Linked DNA regions of Anolis sagrei. The protein of the gene in region 2 purifies or fractionates together with the protein of the main gene of each other region. This does not show direct contact. Links are inferred from orthologs where the notes say so. Each region holds a gene or a part of one and is shown on either strand. Other genes may lie near its edges.

Evidence for each region.
Region 1: the proteins of POLR2D (region 2) and RPAP2 purify together in Homo sapiens (affinity purification with mass spectrometry; 5 studies listed by BioGRID and IntAct, counting the BioPlex papers as one, with this or other methods). This does not show direct contact. The link is inferred for Anolis sagrei from reciprocal best matches to the Homo sapiens genes POLR2D and RPAP2.
Region 3: the proteins of POLR2D (region 2) and RNGTT purify together in Homo sapiens (affinity purification with mass spectrometry; 3 studies listed by BioGRID and IntAct, with this or other methods). This does not show direct contact. The link is inferred for Anolis sagrei from reciprocal best matches to the Homo sapiens genes POLR2D and RNGTT.

What each region holds. Positions count from the first base shown.
Region 1 is NC_090024.1:150,132,290-150,139,308, forward strand, and holds the start of RPAP2 (putative RNA polymerase II subunit B1 CTD phosphatase RPAP2), read right to left. Parts: upstream 3,030-7,019; 5' UTR 2,995-3,029; coding exon 2,937-2,994; intron 2,592-2,936; coding exon 2,546-2,591; intron 2,074-2,545; coding exon 1,959-2,073; intron 983-1,958; coding exon 884-982; intron 1-883.
Region 2 is NC_090023.1:220,842,030-220,849,341, reverse strand, and holds the start of POLR2D (DNA-directed RNA polymerase II subunit RPB4), read right to left. Parts: upstream 3,076-7,312; 5' UTR 3,034-3,075; coding exon 2,961-3,033; intron 596-2,960; coding exon 415-595; intron 1-414. UniProt on the Homo sapiens protein: Core component of RNA polymerase II (Pol II), a DNA-dependent RNA polymerase which synthesizes mRNA precursors and many functional non-coding RNAs using the four ribonucleoside triphosphates as substrates.
Region 3 is NC_090021.1:105,173,982-105,181,854, forward strand, and holds the start of RNGTT (mRNA-capping enzyme), read left to right. Parts: upstream 1-4,800; 5' UTR 4,801-4,912; coding exon 4,913-4,976; intron 4,977-7,873.

The DNA.
Region 1 (7,019 bases), on a different chromosome or scaffold from region 2:
AGTCAAAGGGCCAGTCTGCAAGAAACAATACATTACAGTGTATTATTATGGATAAGGAGAGCCAATGGACCAGCAAACATGTAGCAAAACATTACAGTGTGTTATTATGTACGATGAGAGCCGATGGACCAGTATGCCTGTAACAATATATTACTGTTAATTATTATGTGCCAGAATATTGGCTTCTTTGGTGCCAAACTCTCCCTCTCCTCCTAGCTTGGCTGCAAGGAGAAAGGAAAGCTTAATCTCATTTTCTAAAGTTTGCCATAGTGCACAAAACCTACAATGTTTAATCTGAGCAATGATTTGTTGAAACTATCTTCTTAATCCTAAATCTGATGTTTGCTAATTTCAGTAAACCACAGTTAAGATTTAACACAATTTTTCCAGGTTAGAGAGAGAACTAAATTATGCAGAGCTTGATTTCCTCTCCTTGATCACATTGGATGAAAGCAGAGGCAGGACAAAGAGGTGGCAAGAACACTACATAGTTTTAACCCATGCCGGGGGCCAATATAGTATATACCAGTGGTTCTCAACCTGTGGGTTCCCAGATGTTTTGGCTTTCAACTTCCAGAAATCCTAACAGCTGGTAAACTGGCTGGGATTACTGGGAGTTGTAGGCCAAAACATCTGAGGACCCACAGGTTGAGAACCACTGGCATATACTATCAGATTCAAAACTGCGGATATCCAGGCTCACATCCTTACTCACAAAGCAACCCTGTAGACATTTTAAATCAGTTTTGAATTTGTAACACAGGAAGATAATGAAAATGGGCGAAAAAAGCAAGTACTGGATAATTTTCAGGAAGAAATGCATTTTAAATTTCAAAAAATTACAGAAAAAGAACCAACACATACACCACTCACAGACTCTTACATTCTGCAGCCTATTTCGACAGATGGGGTAGCCACACAGTTTGACGATAAACCGCTCTTCCACAACATCTTTATAGTGAGAAGGTGTAATGAACTTCCCCTGAAAAGAAATAAACAGATTTGCCTTGAAATGTGGGTTTTCATGGATGAGCAGGGATACAAAGAAGCGGTGTGTAAAACAGTAGAAAGGAAGATTAGGAGGGGAGTCATTTGGGTTCGACAAAACAAGTTCAATTTCTGTTTTGGGAAGAATCTTCATGAAAACAGAATGGGTGGACGGACTCAAAATTGGAAACAAAAACAGAACAGATTTCTCCTGTTTCACACATCTCTAATTTACAAACCTTGGACTACAGTTGTTTTAGTCAATGCTCAAGCCTCTACCTCACGCTGAGTCTCCCTTTGGAATATGTCCTATAGGAAATGGGAAACCTTGCAGTCCTCCAAATGCTGTGAATTAAACTTTTAGAAGCACGAACCAGCCTAGACAATAGTGGGAAATGCTGACAACAGCAGCCCAAGGTCATTGAGAAGAGGACTTCTTAAACTTTTCCACTTGTGACACCTTTTGGCCCAATACAGTTTTACACAGCCCTGGGTAGATAAAACTGGTATAAAAATCAAACATTTCCTTTTGCAGAGTCTGCTGTAAATGCTGCACAACAGATTCATGTACATGTCTAAAACAGCAACTAGGTGACATTCAGAAAATGTTTACATTTGCCAATTTTTTCAGGACCCCCACATTGAGCTATGGGGACCTAGTTTGGAGACCCCAGTTTAAGAAGCAGTGATTGAGAGGGTTATATGATTCCCAGATAATTCACATTATCTGCTTTGAACTGGATTACATGAATCTACACTGCCAGATAATCCAGTTCAAATCAGATAATCTGGATTTTATATGGCAGTGTAGAAGGGGCCATAGACTGCCAAGCTAACACACATCTATGGTGCCTCTCCAAAGATTGATAAACTATCTTTGGAAAGGAACCATTAACTGCATAACAAGCTATAGGAGACCTTGACACATTTAAACTAAATATTTTATATAAATCTGCAACAAGACGACATACACAATTTGTGAGGAATTCTTCAGTGATATCGTCTTCTAAGAGGCGTTCAACCACCTTCAAGGCTTTTCGCTCATGCGCAATCTTCTTTCGAATAGCAGCTTCAAGTGCTGCTTTCCTACAAGGGGAAAAAATAGTGGTGTGACCCACATTTTGGCAATTCATATGAAGTTGCTTAAGAAACAAGTGGGTACGAACAGATCCAGCGCAAAACATTTGATGCCTGAAGCAAAGAACACAATGGCACCCACTTTTCATTTCAAACTGTGCCAGCTGGACTAAAGACCTGCCAGTCTTTAATAGGTTAAACAGGGCAGAATATGTGTCTCAAAGAGAAGGGAATATCAGAAAGTCATGAGAAACATCTAAAAGCCCTCAAATAAAAAGAAATACATTACAATGCATGCGCAAAACCACACACACATATATATAGATACCCAAATACACACACACAAAACACAAATACACAGATTTGGCCACAGCAATGTGTGGCAGGGGACAGCTAGTTGATTCATAAACCTTTTGAAGGATTTACAAAATAGATATAAACACATAATGCAACCAAACAGTTATTCTGAGAGACAGGATACCTTTGTGCAGCATCTTCATTTGTCAGGACACTGGGCTGTTTATTACCTAAGAGGAACAACCAAAAATACAGGGAGATGACAAACCACATGAAATCACATGATCAATTCAAGCTTTTGTAGGAACAGAGTGGGAACCCGCTGTTTGCTTAGGGAGAAACTTGCCCTTATAAAACTACAACTCCCACGATTCCATAGCACTGAGCCCTGGCAGTTCAACTATATTATTCCTACAGTAGTATAGGAATAATCACAGCTATAGAGCATCTCCCATCCCTAGAAAGCCACCCCCTTGGAAGATAGGATTGGTTTCGCCTCCACATATTGAGGAAGGGAGAAGGAACAGTCCATGTGATGAAAAGGGGGGGGGATAGATACAAACAGCTGCGTTTACCCGGGCGCCGGCGCTGCCTCCTGGCCTTGGAGCCGCTGCGGGTCCTCTCTTCCGCCATCGCTGCCGGGAAAGACCTCTAACCCCTCACTGCGCCTGCGTTGTTTGGGAAAGGGGCGTGGCTTCTCCCAAAGGGGCGTGGCCTGAGAATAGTCATGAGGCCGTGCTGGTAGACCGGTCTCTTTGGAAAGAGGGAAGGCGGAGGTAAGAGGAGGGAGTCTTGCTGCAGGTTGGGGTCACAGGCGGGAGGGCGCCAGGGAGGAGGGACAGCCCAGGTCTAAGGCATAGTAGTTTAGGAGGGATTCACTCTTTGTCTTTCGTTTCTAGGGTTCAGAGAGGCTCCCAAGTGAAGCCTGGAAAGGAGTTGCAGCCTTCTTTCACTTCCAAGGCTGGTGCAAGGGGAGTCTCCCTTCTCTGAAATGCTATGGGAGCCTGGGAGTTGTAGTTTGGAGGGAAAAATAAAGACCCTGTGAAACTACAACTCTCAGGATTCCATTGACAGGAAAGGCCTAAGGCCTTGTGAAACTACAATTCCCAGGATTTCTTTGGCAGGGAATGCTAAAGGCCTTGTGAAACTACAACTCCTATGATTCCTTTGACAGGGAAGTCTAAAGGCCTTGTGAAACTACAATTCCTAGGATTCATTTGGCAGGGACGGCCAAAGGCCTTGTGAAACTATAACTCCCAGGATTCATTTAGCAGGGAAAGCCAAAGGCCTTGTGCAACTATAACTCCTAGGATTCCTTTGGCAGGGAAGGCTAAAGGCCTTGTGAAACTATAACTCCCAGGATTCATTTAGCAGGGAATACCAAAGGCCTTGTGCAACTATAACTCCCAGGATTCCTTTGACAGGGAAGGCTAAAGGCCTTGTGAAACTATAACTCATAGGATTCATTTAGCAGGGAAGGCCAAAGGCCTTGTGAAACTATAACTCATAGGATTCCTTTGGCAGGGAAGGCTAAAGGCCTTGTGAAACTATAACTCCCAGGATTCATTTAGCAGGGAAGGCCAAAGGCTTTGCGAAACTACAACTCATAGGATTCATTTTTGCAGGGAAGGCTAAAGGCCTTGTGAAACTACAACTCCCAGGTTTCCATAGCATTGAGCCAGGGCAGTTACAGAGGTATCAAACTGCATTAATTATATAGTGTAGAAGCACCTGGGATGTATAGTCCCCCCCCCCCCCCAATGTACACACTTTTAACAGCTAATAATAGCTATGGAGATTATAGACTATAACGGAAACCTTTACCTTTATGGAGATTATTTGGATGTTAAATATATATGTTTATATTGAAGATGAAATGTTATACTAATTAGCTAAAGTTATAGATTCCATTTTAGAGTACGTTTACTTGTTCCTTGTGTGCCTCCCAATTCGTTTCAGACCTATGGAGAACCATTCACTGGGTTTGTACAGGAAGGTTTGTTCAGAAGTTATTTGCCTTGGTCTTCTGAGGCTGAGAGAGCATGACTTGCCCAAGGTTACCCAGAGGGTTTCTATGGCTGAGTGGGAATACGAACCCCGGTCTCAGAGTCATACTCCAATGCTGAAACCATAGAAGGAGTTCAAATTCATGTGCGAGCGCAGCCATGCAATGACCCCATGGTCAAAGCATAGAGTTGCACATTTCATTTGAGGTTTCACTACTAATTGTGCACCACATTGGAATCTTTGATCTTGTTAAGGATGTACTGGCAGTCCCCGAGTTACAAACATCTGACTTATAGACGACTCCTAGTTAAGAATGGGGGTGAGACAACAGGAAGTGAGAGAAATCTACTCCTAGGAAGGGAAATTCACTCCTGGAAGAGTTAGCATGGGGAAAACGTGTCTCCCCTGAAGCTTTATCACCAGTCCTTGTTTCCACAACAAGTCATATTTTTCACAATCCAATTCTCACAGGGACAGAAAGTGCTGTGAAATCTTCTGAACAGGGGAACAGACAGCAAAAGAAACACCATGGGCGTGTCAACCTTTCCCTATGCTAACCAAAGATAGGTAGATAGATATATATATCTCTGGAGTTGCACTTAATAAAATGTACCTGTTCTGACTTACATACAAATTCAACTTAAGAACAAACCTGCAGAACCTATCTTGTTTGTAACTTGGGGACTGTACACATTTTAATGCACCCTCCCCCTCTGTTATAAGCGGTTAAGGGTGTATACTTTTTATAGTTAAAGAGTAATTGCCCTTGAGCATGTGCAGAGTACTTTTTATCTATGTTGTATGGCAGTGGTTCTCAACCTGTGGGTCCCAGATGTTTTTGCCTCCTAACAGCTGGTAAACTGGGATTTCTGGGAGTTGTACGCCAAAACACCTGAGGACCCACAGGTTGAGGACCAATGTTGTATGGTCTCTGGTAGATTTGAACACTTTTTCAATCTCCTTCTAGCTACATAAATGGTCTTCCTTTAAGGAAACAATTAAAATGTTATTTATTGTGTCAGGAGCAACCAGACATTTGTATTACATTTTTAACAAAACAAGCAGACAAAACAGAAAGTTTGCAAGCTTGGTAGTTGATTAAATGTCCTTTGACCAGTATCTGGCCATTTGGAGTGCCTCTGGTGTTACCGCAAGGAGGTCCTCCATTGTGCTTGTGGCGGGGCTCAGGTTGCATTGCAGCAGGTGGTCAGTGGTTTGCTCTTCTCCACACTCGCATGCCGTGGATTCCACTTTGTAGCCCCATTTCTTAAGGTTGGCTCTGAATCTCGTGGTGCCAGAGCGCAGTCTGTTCAATGCTTTCCATGTTGCCCAGTTTTCTGTGTGCCCAGGGGGGAGTCTCTCATTTGGTATCTGCCATTGATTGAGGTTCTGGGTTGGAGCCTGCCACTTTTGGACTCTCACTTGCTGAGATGTTCCAGCGAGTGTCTCTGTAGATCTTAGAAAACTATTTCTTGATTTAAGTCGTTGACATGCTGACTGATACCCAAACAAAGGATTGGTCCTTTCACTATTGGTTGCTACTTCCCGGCGGATGTCAGGTGGTGCGATACCGGCTAGACAGTGTAATTTTTCCAGTGGTGTAGGGCGCAGACACCCTGTGATAATGCGGCATGTCTCATTAAGAGCCACATCCACTGTTTTAGTGTGGTGAGATGTGTTCCACACTGGGCATGCATACTCAGCAGCAGAGTAGCATAGCGCAAGGGGAGATGTCTTCACTGTGTCTGGTTGTGATCCCCAGCTTGTGCCAGTCAGTTTTCGTATGATATTGTTAATTGACAATTAAAATAATTTTTAAAGAAGGGGTTATGTTAGCCTGTTGTAGCATAACAAGAAGAAAAGCGAGGGAAAGGGTTGGGGGAAATCTAGCCACACTTTTTAAGATTAGTTTTTATTTTAGCATCCGTTTTTGTGGGTCAATGTCTACACAAAAAAGAAAGTTATAAACTAGAAATGTATCTTACAGGTGCTGCCAGATTCCTTTAATGTCCTGTTCAACTCCCTTTCCCCTGTTTTGCACGTTAAAGACCACTTGCTAGAGACTTTTTCTGGCCCCACAAAGCAGATAGCTTCCAAATACTACAATGTGCTCTTTGCTTCGCTTCCTCTTTGCCTGCTCTTACTTGGCTGTAACTTTACTTCTTTCTTGAATGGGATGAGAATAAGAAAATAAAAAATCTCCAAAAGGATTAATATGTAAAAGAAAACAATCTTCATGGTGGTGGGAATTGTAAATGTTGTGTATGTCCTAAAATAAAAAAAATATTAAAAAAATAAATTAATAGAAAGTTTATGTATACATCCTGGCTTTTAAAAGTCAGAGTATTTCAGAGCACTTTATTGCCCCTCAGCAGAACTGCTTCCTATAATATGCTTAATGGCCAGCTGTAAAGCTCTTAACTATACTTAATCAGAAGGTGTCCTTTTTAATTCTCATTAAACTAGGGTTGCCCTTTAAAACATTCTGGTAAATGGCAATGCAACACGTTTAGAGTATCTTGTTGAGTCCCACTTTCTGTTGTATTATAATTCAATAATATTTTGTCATTTAGGATTTTTGCAGTTCCCTTTTGGTACCTAAAGGTTTTGGCACAGATAATATAATCTGTTATTAAAACGATCTAATCCCT
Region 2 (7,312 bases):
CATAACAGCCTGTATTTTGTTTTAAATCACTTTCCCTGAAGGTCAACTTACAAAATAACTTTATTCGGGGAATCAAAATAAATTTAACTGCGCACAATAACGTACTCTACTTCCTTTGTTCAGATTAAGGAAACTATTAGGGAAGCTGCTGGGAGAGATCATCTGGAGTTTTGGAGTTTGATGTCAAATTTACGCTGATGACACCCAATTGTATTACTCATTTCCAGCGAAAGCCTAGGGTGCCGTCCTGCCCCTAAACTTGTGCCTGTCTTCAGTAATTGACTCGGCGAGGGCTAATAAGCTAAAGGTAAATCTAGACAAAACAGAGGCACTACTGGTCAGTATTATTATGATGTTCTACATTAGTTGTCACGTTGGCTAATGACAAAAGATTTTATTCTCAGGATTACATACCTGCGAACGCTAGCAATCGTCTCCCGGTTTTTGAAGCGGCTGAAGCGAGCGGTGTAGTTCAGCGTTTTCATGAAGACTTCAGAGAGCTCCTGCTCATCTTCTGCACTCTCATTCTGCTGCTTTCGATGTTCAAGAAGCATGTGCACTTCTGAATTGAGAAGGGTTTCAGCAGTCTCAAACTCTGTAGGTAAAGATGGGTGGAACGGATCAAAAGAAACAGAAAAAGACAGCTTTATGGGTGCTATTTTAGGATTGGTCTGTGTGTGAAGCAGGAATAGGTGGTAGTACTTAAGGTTATTAACAAAAATGAGAAAAACAATAATATGACTGATCCTATGAAAAATACTAAAGAGAAATATCCAGAATATGCACAGAATATAAAATATATAAACAAACTAGCCATCCTCTGCCACACGTTGCTGTGGCCCAGTCTGTGAATATGTGTTTTGTGTATGTATGTATGTGTATATGTGTATATATGTGGTTTCACGCATGCGTTGCAATGTTGCTGTTTTTTTTGCTTTTTAAGTCTTTTCTGCTGTGTTTTCCAGTGTTTTTATGGGTGATGGTCACTCGTTGGCCTGATAGGTGTATTGTGTCCAAATTTGGTCTCAATTTGCCCAGTGGTTTTTGAGTTATGTTAATCTTACAAATGAACACTACATTTTAATTGATAAAGACTAGCCATCCCCTGCCACGCACTGCTGTGGCCCAGTCTGTGTATATGTGCTTTGTGTGTATATATATTTGTGTTTATGTGTATATAAGTGCACATCCATTGTAATGTATTTTTTTAAATTTTTTTTTGCTTTTTAAGTCTGTTCTGCTGTGTTTTCCAGTATTTTTATGAGTGATGGTCACTTGTTGCCCTGATAGGTGTATTGTGTCCAATTGTCCACTGGGTATTACACAGTTGCTCCCCCTCAGCGGTTTTTGTCCCCAGAGTATATTTCCCCACCTGTATGAAGGTCTATATTTATGACCCCGTTCCTTACGAGTTTCTTCCCCACAAACAATCTGCTCCATCTCTATCTCATCCTGATTTTAGTATTTTTGGTATCTAGTTTATTTATTTATTTAGCAATTTTGTATACCGGTCTTCTCCCCTCTATCAGGGGACTCGAGCCGGTTTCCAACAATAAAATCACAAAACAATAATTAAAAACATCATATAACATATTCAATTAAAACGTTATAACAGCAAAATGCAATCACATAATAACAATGGTCAGTCGTCATAGTGAATTCGTTGTCCATCATTCATCATCATCTATCCGATCACAGAAATATTGATTTACTCGTCGAAAGCCAAACCCCATAGCCAGGTTTTCACCCATTTTCTGAATGACAGAATGGAGGGGGCAGTTCTGATCTCCAGTGGGATAGAGTTCCAGAGTCGAGGGGCCACCACCGAGACGGACCTGTCCCTCGTCCCCACCAGACGCGCCTGAGAGGCCGGTGGGACCGAGAGCAGGACGAGGGACAGGTCCTTCTCGGTGGTGGCCTCCAGACGATCTTAACAACCTAGATGGTTCATAGGTGAGAATACATTCGGACAGGTAAACTGGGCCGGAGACGTTTAGGGCTTTATAGGTTAACACCAGCACTTTGAATTGTGCTTGGAAGCTAATTGGCAGCCAGTGGAGCTGGCGCAACAGAAGAGTAGTATGCTCCCTGTACCCTGCTCGTGTTAGCATTCTGGCTGCCGCATGTTGGACTAGTTGGAGCTTCCGGGCAGTCTTCATAGGCAACCCCACGTTGCAGTAATCTAAACTGGATGTAACCAAAGCGTGGACCACTGTGGCCAAGTCAGTTTTATCTTGCACATGCGGCCCGCTCATTGTTATGTTATTTAAAACAAATTATTTTGTTTTATCGTTTTTGTATTCATATGTTGTATGTATTTTACTGGGTTGTTATTGTTTACTTTATTATAATATGCTGTTGGGCTTGGCCTCATGTAAGCCATCCCGAGTCCCCATTGGGGAGATGGTGGCGGGATGTTAAATAAAGTTTATTATTATTATTATTATTATTATTATTATTATGGGTTTTGAGTTATGTTAATCCCACAAACAAACGTTATATTTTTATTTATACAGATTGTAATATGACTATTGGCTGTGGCTAATAAAACTGTTATCCCGATCACATCAGCTACATCTTCAGGTAGTTCACGGCTGTTAGGAATTATGGGAATTGAAGTCCAAAAGACCTGGAGGGCCCAAGTTTGCCCATGCCTGATCTACACTGCACTTTGTCACCATTTAAGTGCCATAGCTGAGTGTTATGGCATCCTGGGAGCTGTAGTTTGACGTGGTGCTAACACTCTTGCGCAGCGAAGCCTAAAGACCTTGAAAAAACTACACCTCCCACAGGACTGAGCCATGGCAGTTCAAGTGGGGCCAAACTGCATTCATTCTACTGCCTGGATGCACACTGCATGTGTTGTTTTGAAAGGATCCCGTAGGTCTGCCTCCTCTGGAGCAACTTCCATGTCCTCCCAAGCCCACGGCGTTTCCCTTCCCTCGGAGCCAGTCGCTCACCTTTGGGGAAGACCAGCTGGGAGGCGTCTTCCTCCACGTCCACGGCCCGCACGTCCGACCCTCCGGCCGCCATTGAGTGCCTTTCCACAGCCCGGAAACTCAAGAAAAGGGAAGAGAAGGGAAGTCGAGCCTCTGCTGCGGGCGCCCCCTTGAGGGCGGGAGAGGACACGCGCTCTTCCGTCACCATCATGTGGCATGAATCCCAGTGCCTTGTTTCAATGTCCAGGGTGCCCCGACACAGCGTTTTTCAACCTAGGGATCGGGACCCCTAGGGAGTCATGAGGGATGTCAGAGGGGTCTCCAAAGACATCAGCAAATTTTCTGTTGGTCATGGGGATTCTGTGTGGGAAGTTTGCCCCCATTCTATCATTGGTGGGGTTCAGAGTGCTCTTTGATTGGAGGCGAACTATAAATCCCAGCAACTACAACTCCCAAATGTCTATTTCCCCACAAACTCCACCAGTACACACATTTGGGCATATTGAGTATTTGTGCCAAGTTTGGTCCAGATCCATCATTGTTTGAGTCCACAGTGCTCTCTGGATGTAGCAGAACTACAACTCTAAAACTCAAGGTCAACGGTCACTAAACTCTTCCAGCATTTTCTGTTGGTCGTGGGAGTTCTGTGTGGGAAGTTTGCCTCAATTCTGTCGGTGGGGTTCAGAATGTTCTTTGATTAGAGGCGAACTATAAATCCCAGCAATTACAGCTCCCAAATGTCAAGGTCTATTTCCCTCAAACTCCACCAGTGCTCACATTTGGGCATATTGAATATTCATGCCAAGTTTGGTCCAGATCCACAGTGCTCTCTGGATGTATGTGAATTGCAAGGTAAGTGCCCACCAAACTCTTCCAGTATTTTCTGTTGGTCATGGGAGTTCTGTGTGAGAAGTTTGGCCCAATTCCATTGTTGGTGGGGTTCAAAACGCTCTTTGATTGTACATGAACTGTCAATCCCAGCAACTACAACTCCCAAATGTCAAGGTCTATTTTCCCCAATCCACCAGTGCTCACATTTGGGTATATAGAGTATTTCTGTCAAGTTTGGTCCAGATCCATCATTGTTTGAGTCCACAGTGCTCTCTGGATGTATGTGAACTACAACTCCAAAACTCAAGGTCAATGCCCCCCAAACCCTTCCAGTATTTTCTATTGGTCGAGGGGGTGCCGTGTATCAAGTTTGGTTCAATTCCATTGTTGGCGGAGTTCAGCATGCTCTTTGATTGTAGATGAACTATCAATCCCAGCAATTACAACTTCCAATTTAAAAAATAAATTTCCACAAGCCCACCAGTGTTCACATCTGGGCATACTGAATATCCCTGCGAAGTTTAGTCCAGATCCATAATTGTTTGAGTCCACAGTGCTCTCTGGATGTAGGTGAACTAAAACTCCAAAACTCAAGGTCAATGCCCACCAAACCCTTCCAGTATTTTCTGTTGGTCATGGGAGTTCTGCGTGCCAAGTTTAGTTCAATTCCATTGTTGGTGGAGTTCAGAATGCTCTTTGATTGTAGGTGAACTATAAATCCCAGCAACTACAACTCCCAAATGACAAAATCAACCCCCCCCCCCAACCCCACTAGTATTGATATTTGGGCGTATTGGGTATTTGTGCCAAATTTGGTCCTGTTAATGAAAATACAACTTGCATATCAGATATTCACATTACAATTCATAAAAGTAGCAAAATTACAGTTATGAAGTAGTAATGAAAATAATGTTATGGTTGAAGGTCACAACATGAGGAACTGCATTAAGGGGTCGTGACATTAGGAACCACTGACTTAACAGAAGGGAGTCTACTAATACAGTGCTGCAGAATTCGAGGAGGCACGAGTGGAGGGTGAAAGAAAGAAACGTGCCAGGAGGAAGGCGCGTCAAGCCAACCCCGACCGGGACCGCCTTCCACCTGGAAACCAATGCCTTCACTGTGGGAGAAGATGCGGGTCAAGAATAGGGCTCCACAGCCACCTACAAACCCACAAAAATAGTAATCAAGGAAGACCATCTTACTCGTCCAACGAGGGATCGCCTAAGTAAGTAAATAAGTAAGTAAGTAAGTACTAATACTTTTGGTATAGCACAGTTTGATGAAGGGTATATCTACAACAATGCAGTTTGACACCACTTTTAGGACCTTTCCAGACAGGCCCTTTATTCCAGGTTTAAACTGAATTATATGAATCCCCACTGATATATAATCTGTGATACACAAAACCAGGGATCAGATCCTGGGATATAGAGCCTGTCTGGAAGGGCCCCGAGTTTCATGGCTCAAAAGCTATGGAATTGTGGGATTTGTAGTTTGCTGAGGCACCAGCACTCCATGGAGCAGACCTTATTGAACTGCAGCTTCCTTGATTCCATCACCTTGAGTCACTGCATAAAAGTTGTTGCTATTATTTGTATCCTTTATCTCTCTGAAAATGAGACTCAGGGCCCATCCACACAGCTATATAACCCAGAATATGAAGGCAGATAACCTACAATATCTGCTTTGAACTGAGGACCCTTCCAGGCAGGCACCCTATCTCCCAGAATTGTATACCAGTTTTCTGCATTAAACTGGATTATGCCAGATAATCTGGGATAAACACAAAATTTGGGATTGAAATGGAGCAATTTGATGCAGCTGCAGATAGTGAAATCTGAGCTGCGGAGAGCCGGAATCTGGGACCGGGAGCCAAGTCCTTTAAGCAGTGATTGGCAAAGAGCCTGGCTGCCCCGAGAGGAGGCCTAATCTGACTAAATTAAGCTCTTCAAGTTGGGGAAAAGCCACCAAACTTTTTATTAGTCAACTGAAGTAATGCCAGCATGCGGTAATCTGCCAAAAATAAGCTGAGATACATAGTACCATAAAAATGCATTTTTGCATTCAAAGTTCCCACCACCCCCAGCTGGACCCGGCTTCTCCGTGATTGGCTGAGTCGGCAAGATGTCAGCAGGGACTCCGTGCAGAGGCAGGAATTTGGCACATCTCAGCCAATAAGAGAGCACTGGCTGCCTCTGATGCAGATTTCCCTCTGTCCAATGGTTAGAGAGGGGTTGGCACATCCCAGAACAATGGGTGAAGAAATGACTTGTGATGGGATTAAGTATTTCTGGTATGAAAAATACAATGGACCTAATAGGTTGTCACTTAGATGGTAATCTTGATTGAGTCCAGTGCCTATGACCGGTATTCTAATGGGTCAGGAAAAATAATACCAGACACACACAAATATGAAGGTTCTTGCTTTTATTTTTAACAAGATTTAGTCTCATTACCTTTGAGGTATGTTTTGTAATGAGAAATTTTGTGAAGGATTCCCACCCGCTTCATGCCGATTCTTCCACAATCCTCACTTTAGACTTCTGTTTCACTCATTTATTTATTTTATTTATTTTAAAAAACCCTTACAACATTTATTGTGGAATTCATAATGGATTTCGGCGTGAAAAGTAAATATTGACAAAGAACGGACACCAATAAAAAAGGGACAAGATAAAAATTGTATCCATTACAATTTATTTTCTACAATACTTCATTAGAGGGTAAAGTTCAATGATTTACACTCAGAGGTTATATAGCTAGGAGGCAACCAAGTGTAATAACAAAGAATGGTCTGATATCTCTGCACTGGTGGATAAGAAGTTCCTTGCTTTCAAAGAAAAAATAAACTAATCAAAATGTTAATGATGTTGGCGTTGGAAAATAAGCAGGAAATGGCATTTTGTCAGTGAAGACTGCAATGGTGAGAATGAATCAGGAAAAATAAGTTATGTGCAAAAATGGGGGGGGGGGATCACACACTACTGTACTTTGTCCACAAAATAATCAGATATAGTCAGGCCATAACATCTTTCTGTCTGAACGATCTCTGTTAAAGTTAGCTGTTCATTATGAGAAAGTAAAACTTCAGAAAGGAAATATTCAAAACACTGAACCTTCACCGATCAATGACATTCTCTGCTGTAATATGGAGATGAGGTGAGGAATTTTAAAAATAGCTTAAAAGATACATGGCGGCAGCAAGGAAAATTCACAACAATGAGTGTTTTGAAATGACTCCATCTTAGACCAAAAGGCACTTGCTTGTAGCTAAGGATGAGCCAATTCCCAGTCAGACCAGAAGGCTATTGCTAAGGTCCTTAGACGATCAAACTAATCAGGTGAAAATTACAACTGATTAGGCTTCCAGAATAAAGTATTAATACTGCACAGTTATAGCACTTTGATATTACTTTAACTGCCATGGTTCCATCCGGTAGGATTCTGGGATATGCAGTTTGATAAGGGACTCACAATTCTCTACTAGAGAGCTCTAGTCCTCCCCTGAACTACAACACTGAGAACTCTGTCTGGAACAC
Region 3 (7,873 bases), on a different chromosome or scaffold from region 2:
GGAGAGATTGTCATAATGGTTATGTAATCTAGCCAAAGATTCTTAGCTCTGGGTTAGAAAAAAAGCTGGCTAAAAAGAGCAATTCTCCACACGGGCTTCTAAAAGTGGGTTCAAGCCTCTTCTTCTTCTGCCTACAATTTGCAGTTGACTTAGTTCAGTTTTGAGGCTCTTGGTGAATTCATGCAGTGTGAAAGTTATGCCGATTGCACCGATCTTGTCTTTTTACATTTTCAGTTCATATGAGCCTAAACAAAAATGAGGCACAGTGAGTAACCATTCCTGTGGACACCAGAGGTTTTTCTGTGATACAGGATTCAACAGTGTAATTTGTTTCAACTAGTCATCCCTCCACATTTGCTAGGGTTAGAGGCACAGAACCCCCACAAAAGTGGAAATACGGCAAATAAAAAGGAATCTATCTTAAAAGGAATCCATAGGTCCTCTAGACTTGTGGTGGAGGTTGGCCATCAAGTTACACTGGAAGGCCTAGAGGGACCATATCAATAAAATTTATGAATAATCTATAATAGCAAAACCTGCTAATTTGTAGGGCCGACTGTGCTGTCATTTGTTTTGTGCCATGTTGTTTGTAACTGCCATAAGTGCCTGCTTGTTTTATCCTCCCACTCATCACATGCGGTGTCTTTAGCAAAGGACTGCCTCCTCTTCATGTTCCTTCCACCACGTGCCGGCCACGTTTCCCAGTCCATGTGTGTCAGTATGTGAATCTTTCCAAACCAATTCTTTTTTTCCAATTTATCCCTCCCAAGTGATCCACCGCATCTGGTCTGAATTACCATAATTCCTGATCTTTGGTTGAGGCATGCAAATTGTAAATTTAATATCTTGAAGATCGGCAACTATCAAACCAATTACCATAACATAATTTGCATGCCATATGGATTTGCCCATTGAAAGAATATGCCAAGGCAGATTCAGAGAATGCCAAGGTGACTGATACTGACCGAGGGAAGAGGAATTCCTACTTGTCTAGAGCACTGTACTTTATGTTATGATGGAGATATGTGGATGCATCTCCCAGCTCTTCCTTTTAAATCCTCCCAGCTCTTTCTTTTAGCTAAGTGATCCCAACTCAGGACTGTAATGCAAGGTGGGAGGGAGTTAAGTTTCATTCTCAGTGAAATTTGCCCAGGCTTGCACATTACATTCATCTGGCTCTCTGTAGAAGACATGCCGGCATGGAAAACATTAGCATCAGAGTCATTTGAGCTTTATTCGCCCCCCCCCCCCACTTTATAGAACTCTACTATGATCTGTTTATGTCTCATATATTATGTTTTTTACAAATATATGGATACACATACACATACACACACACACACACACACACACTGTTTGTCACTTTGTAGGTCAATAGGATGGAAGAGCAGTATATACATATAGGAATAAATCATACATATAGGAAAATACATACATATAAGGGCCAGAGGTTTAGCACAGCTGGTAAATCACCAGCAACTATAAGATCTGTCAACCGAAAGGTTGCAAGTTCAAAGCCTTGGATCGGCATGAGCTGCCGACTGTCAGCCCTGCTCACTGTTTACCTAAGCAGCCGAAAACAGCTTTAGCTGTGATTAGAGAAATTACCGCTAAAAGTGGGAAAGGTGTTTTACGACAGCATAAAGAAAGAAGATCAGAAAATGCTGGTTGACCAAAAGGAAGGAGGAAGTTCTCACAGTTCTTCATCACAGAGGATGGAGTGACATCACCCCCCAGAGGCTGGACTCACCTTCCACGGCACCTACAGCTGGACACCGAGTCGAAACAACACACACCTCCTTTTGTTCTGTCTGTCTGTGTATTGTCTATACAGAGTGGCATTGAATGTTTGCCGTGTATGTGTATTGTGATCTGCTCCGAGTCCCCTTTGGGTGAGAACGGCAGAATATAAATAAAGTATTATTATTGAAATGGCAGGGAAAAGGTTCCAAGGAAAGGAGAGGCAAAGAGAGTCCCAGAGGTCTGAAAAGCACGGATTTATTACCAGCTGGGACCCTGGTGAGGAGTTCTCTCCTAAAGCACCAGAGCAAATGATAGAGGCATTGACTGTGCCTTTTATAGTCTCCAATCGGAGTCAAACAAAGAAACATGCTACTACATACATTAACGTAATTCCTACGTCATCTTAGCATCAAGTTCTAACCTCCAACATGCAAAAAGGCATGTCTGTGTATTTCTAGGAGCAGCCTGCATCCATCAGTCAAGAGGCCCACTTTGAGTTGTCAGGAGGGAGGGGGGATTGGCTCCTTCCTTAGAGCCTAGTTGTACCCGCTAGGATGGGCTTATCTCCTGGAATGTAGAGATAACCTGCCCCCCTTCTCCTCCCTCCTGCCATGCCTTGGACACAGATCTCCTTCAGCATTCTTTCTACACACAGAGAGAACTAGATTTTTCTATATTTCAGTGTTTGTAAAGTACTTACAATGTTATGCATAAATCAATAAATATCTATTTTCCAATATCTCCTCATTATTATTATTATTATTATTATTATTATTATTATTATTATTTTCCAGTGGGCTCCCATGGCTGTTTCCTCCGAAGTAAGTGCCATTGGGTTTTATGGAACACTCACCTAGGTAGGGACTAAAGCATTATTTTAACATGACCCGATTAAGAGAATGAATGCAAAAGTATAGAAACAAGCAAATGCTACTGAAAGTAGCAACTGTAATATGCATCTAGAGCAGACATGGGCAAACTTCGGCCCTCCAGATGTTTTGGACTCCAACTCCCACAATTTCTAACAGCCTCAGACCCTTTCCTTTTTCCTCTCAGCCGCTTAAGTGGAAAGGAAAGAAAGGAAGGGGGCTGAGGCTGTTAGGAATTGTGGGAGTTAAAGTCCAAAACACCTGGTGGGCAGAAGTTTGCCCATGTCTGAGCTAGACATCCACGCCTCCTTATTCACAGAGGCAACGCTGTACTGTAACTCCAAGTTCCTACTGGTTTGATATTGAATCTACTCAGCTGACTGACAATGGTTTACTGCCTATTTGAGCAATTGCCTTTCAGCATGATCTGAAGAAGCCAAAATTAGATGGCACCAGAAACATTGCAGCACATTGTTATAGCTGCAATCGCCTCCAGCGGAAGCTTTGTGTATTCTTGTGAGTGGAGTTATGGCTCCATCTACTGTTCTGAAACCGACATGTAAATATTTTAAAAGTCACTAAGAGGAATAATTCTTCCAATTTACTGAGGAGCATAAGGTCACTATAAAAGTGGGAAAATGCATTTTAAAAAGGTAATTTTAAAAAATTGCTTTTAGAATCTCTAGGTTCTCCAATGTGACTATGAACAACTTCTGCTGGCCACAGAATCATGCTGGAGGACCTGCAAATCCCTAGAGATGTATTCTTTCGAAACATCTCTAAACCAGAGCTGTCCAAATTGTGTGTTGTGCAGGCCCGTAGCCAGGATTTCGATTCGGGGGGGGGGGGGGGTTGAGTTTTTTTCAGGGGGTGTGCCAAGGAGTGTTGGAGTCTCACCAAGCTACAAATCCCAAGATCCTATAGCATTGAGCCATGGCAGTCAAGGTGGCATCAAAGTGCATTATATCTATTATGTTGCTGTTTATTCGTTCAGTTGCTTCTGACTCTTCATGATCTCATGGACCAGCCCACGCCAGAGCTCTCTGTTGGCGGATCTTGCCCTTGGTCTAGTGTAGAAGGGCCTTAAGTCGCATCAGCTAACTTCTGTGAACCATAACCAGAAACCAGAACGGCCTCCTCCCTGCAGGCTTTTAAAGACGAAGGCGTTTAAGACCATCAAGGGCTGCTGTGCTTTTGCGATGTGATTTTATATGCTTTTAAGGTTTTAACGTGGATTGTTTTAATATCAACGTTTAATACTGTTTGTATATGGTTTGCTGACAGAAATTATATTACCTTAACTCATTGGAGAGCCACGTATTCACATTTGTATACTTTTATATATCTATACAGATTTTATCAGATTATTGTATTATCTATGAGGTTTATCAACTACATGTTTTATCCTAGGCTGTTTTATTGGCATATTTTAAACTGTTCATTTCTAACTGTTTGTTTGTTTTTGCTTTATTTCTATTTTGTCAAAGACCACACCTGGAATATTGTGTCCACTTCTGGGCACCACAATTGAAGAGAGGTATTGACAAGCTGGAATGTGTCCTAAGGAGGGCGACTAAAATGATCAAGGGTCTGAAGAACAAGCCCTATAAGGAGCGGCTTAAAGAGCTGGGCATGTTTAGCCTGCAGAAGAGAAGGCTGAGGGGAGACATGATGAGGGCCATATATAAATATGTGAGAGGAAGTCATAGGGAGGAGGGAGCAAGCTTGTTTTCTGCTGCCCTGGAGTCTAGGACACAATGGAACAATGGCTTCAAACTACAAGAAAGAAGATTCCATCTGAACCTGAGGAAGAACTTCTTGACTGTGAGAGCCGTTCAGCAGTGGAACTCTCTGCCCCAGAGTGTGGTGGAGGCTCCTTCTTTGGAAGCTTTTAAACAGAGGCTGGATGGCCATCTGTCAGGGGTGATTTGAATGCAACATTCCTGCTTCTTGGCAGGGGGTTGGACTGGATGGCCCACGAGGTCTCTTCCAACTCTTTGATTCTATGATTCTATGAAAGCCTTCGACAATACACCTTTAAGTGGCCCAATGACATGTCCAGAATGATCAGCTTTGTGCTCTGACTCGTGGAAGGCCCTCTAACCATAGAGTGTACGAGAACCCGCCTCCCTTCCGTTGCCAGAGCGGTCGAAGCCGGCAGCATTCCGGAAGCGGAACCGGTGGCGCTCTGCCCCCGGTGCATTGTGGTCCGGCGGCGTTGCTGGGCTTGACGGCAAGCGCTGGGAAGTGTTGCTGCCAGGGGAGAGGAAGCGGCGACGGCGTCCTCTTCCTCCTCCGCCATGTCCTTCAACAAGATCCCCCCGCGGTGGCTGAACTGCCCCAGGAGGGGGCAACTCGTGGCCGGTGAGCGGACGCCTCGCACCCGCCTCCCCCAAGGCGGCATCTTTCCTCACTGGGCAAGGCTGCCATGGCTCCTTGCTGTGGGGTCGTGGAGTTGTCATCCGACGGGGCACCAGGTGGCAGAGAAGGCGGAAGAGCCCGGGAAAATGCCTCTCTCACACTTCCATAGCATTGAAGTGTTTTGGACTTAACTCCCATCATTCCTAACAGTCTCAGGCCCCTTCCTTTTGCCCCTCAGGCGCTTAAGCGGCTGAGGGGCAAAAGGAAGGGGCCTGAGACTGTTAGGAATGATGGGAGTTGAAGTTCAAGACACTTGGAGGGGCCAACGTTTGCCCAAGTCTGGCCCGGCCCGGGTAACTTCCTCTCACACTTCCATAGCCCTGGCAGCGGATGCTCCCACACTGAGTGATGTTCCAAAGGGACACAGCAGAGTCTTTGCGTTGCACCTGATGAAGTGATCTTCCCTCCACAAAAGTACAGGCTACTTTTGGTCCAACCTCCAGGTGTTTTGGACTTCAACTCCCACCATTCCTAACAGCCTCAGACCCCATCGTTTTCCTTTCCTAAGGAAAAAGGAAAGGGTCTGAGGAATTTGTGGGAGTTAGAGGCCAAAACACCTGAGGGCTGAAGTTGTCCATGCCTGTTGTAGAGCATCTCACTTGCATTTCTCAGATCCCAGCACACTGAGCCATGGCAGTTCAAGTGATGGCAAACTACATGAATTCTCCAGTCTCCATCAGGCATGGCAAACTTCAGCTCTCGGGGTGTTTTGGACTTCAACTCCCACCATTCCTAACAGCCTCAGGCCCCTCCCTTTTCCCCCTCAGCCGCTTAAGCAGAATCGAAGTCCGAAACGCTTGGAGGGGCCAAAGTTTGCCCAGGCCCAGCTTTGTAGGTTTCTCTCCATTTTCCATTGCTTTCGGACTGACTTTCTGACCAAACCACAGGAAGCCACCAGACACAATAATATTATCACCAAGTGGATTCTTATCAGATATGCCTGCCCAGTTAAAGGAATAGTGACCATATACAGGCAGTCCTCGGGTTATGAGTTGTTCTTCAGTTGAATTTGTAGGAGCCCCCGATGGTGCAGTGGGTTAAACCCTTGTGCCGGCAGGATTGAAGACCGACAAGTCGCAGGTTTGAAACTGGGGAAAGCGCGGATAAGCTCCCTTTTGTCAGCTCCAGCTCCCCATGCGGGGACATGAGAGAAGCCTCCCACAAGTATGATAAAACACATACACACACACAAATCCAGGCGTCCCTGCAGATAGCCAGTTCTCTCACACCAGAAGCAACTTGCAGTTTCTCAAGTCGCTCCTGACATGAATTTTTTAAAAAAAGTTGAATATACCTCTGAGGATGCTTGCCATAGATGCAGGCGAAACGTCAGGAGAAAATGCCTCTAGACAATGGCCATATAGCCTGAAAAAAACCTACAACAACCCAAAATTTGATTTTGTATGTAAGTTGGAATAGATACATTTTAAAGTATAACTCCTGCTATACACACACACACAAACATATATGTATGTGTGTATATATATATATATATACACACACACAAAAGCTATGGATAGCATTGTGAAAGTTTAACATCCCTGGATTGCTGTAAGTTTTTCGGGTTGTATGGCCATGTTCCAGAAGCATTCACTCCTCAGGATACTCTCTCCTCAGGAGGAGAGAATGCTTCTGGAATACATCCCGAAAAACTTATAGCAACTCAGTGATTCTGGCCATGAAGGTCACAACATCTGAGACCCACAGGTTGAGGACCACTTCTGTAAGGCAATCTGTTCCAGTGCTGAACCTCTCTTACAATAAAAAAGGGCTCCTAATGTTCAGATGGAATTTCCTTTCTTGTAATTTGAATCCATTGGTTTATGTTGTAGTCTCTGGAGCAGCAAATAATAAGATGGTTCCATCTTCTACATGACACCCCTTCAGATATTTAAAGCCAACTCTCATGTCTCTAATCCACCAAGGATTGGTGTCCTATATACATATCTCAGTATCTCTGTTTTGTCTTCTCTAAACTAAACATATCCAGTTCCCTGACTTGTTCTTCTTAAGACTTGGTTTCTTATGTTTGATCATATTGGCCTCTGTTCCTGTTTATCAATATCCTTTTTGAACTGTGGTCAACTGGATAAAGAATATTGTGAGGTCATTGATAAAAAAGATTATCTGATTGTAAAAACAATTAAGCAGCCACAATAGAGATACACAATTGAAGTTTTTGCAGTATTGTTTAATTATGTGTATGGTCCTTGATCACAAATGAGCAAACTTTTTTCTGATTTGGCAGGACTTTAATATGTTGAGTGTCAAATTTAGAAATTGCCAAGTTATGTAATACTTTGCCTAGATGCCAGTTGATGTTGCCAGAAAAAAACGGTACAAAGCACTACCTTTCACAGCTGTCTCTGAGTACTTAGAGCAGATCAGATCTAGGAGATCTTTTATTTAAGGAAGACTGTGATTTTATCCAAAATATGAAGTCAGAAGGACACGGGATAGATTTCCTTTGGTCTCCTGTTTACATATCCCTGCTTTCTCTGGGCTGATTGCTGGTTACTGTCTTTTTGAAAGGAATAATTTTATTGGTTTGCTGATTTCTCTAGACTCTTACTGATTTCAATAGCTACCATCCTAGTCTTCACTGGGCAACATAAGAACAAGTCACATGGGATCCAGTATTGATCTGATCTGATCTGCTCAGCTTCATCCCTGTTGGATTATATTGATTTCAGAACACACCTGATGGCATAAGCTGCATTTTGTACTACTGTATTCCCTTATTTAGCAATTTAAAGTACAGGCTTCTATGAAATCTAGCAAACTTCTCTGTACTTCTCTGAATATTTTAATACTGATTATATGCTTGTTTATATATGCAT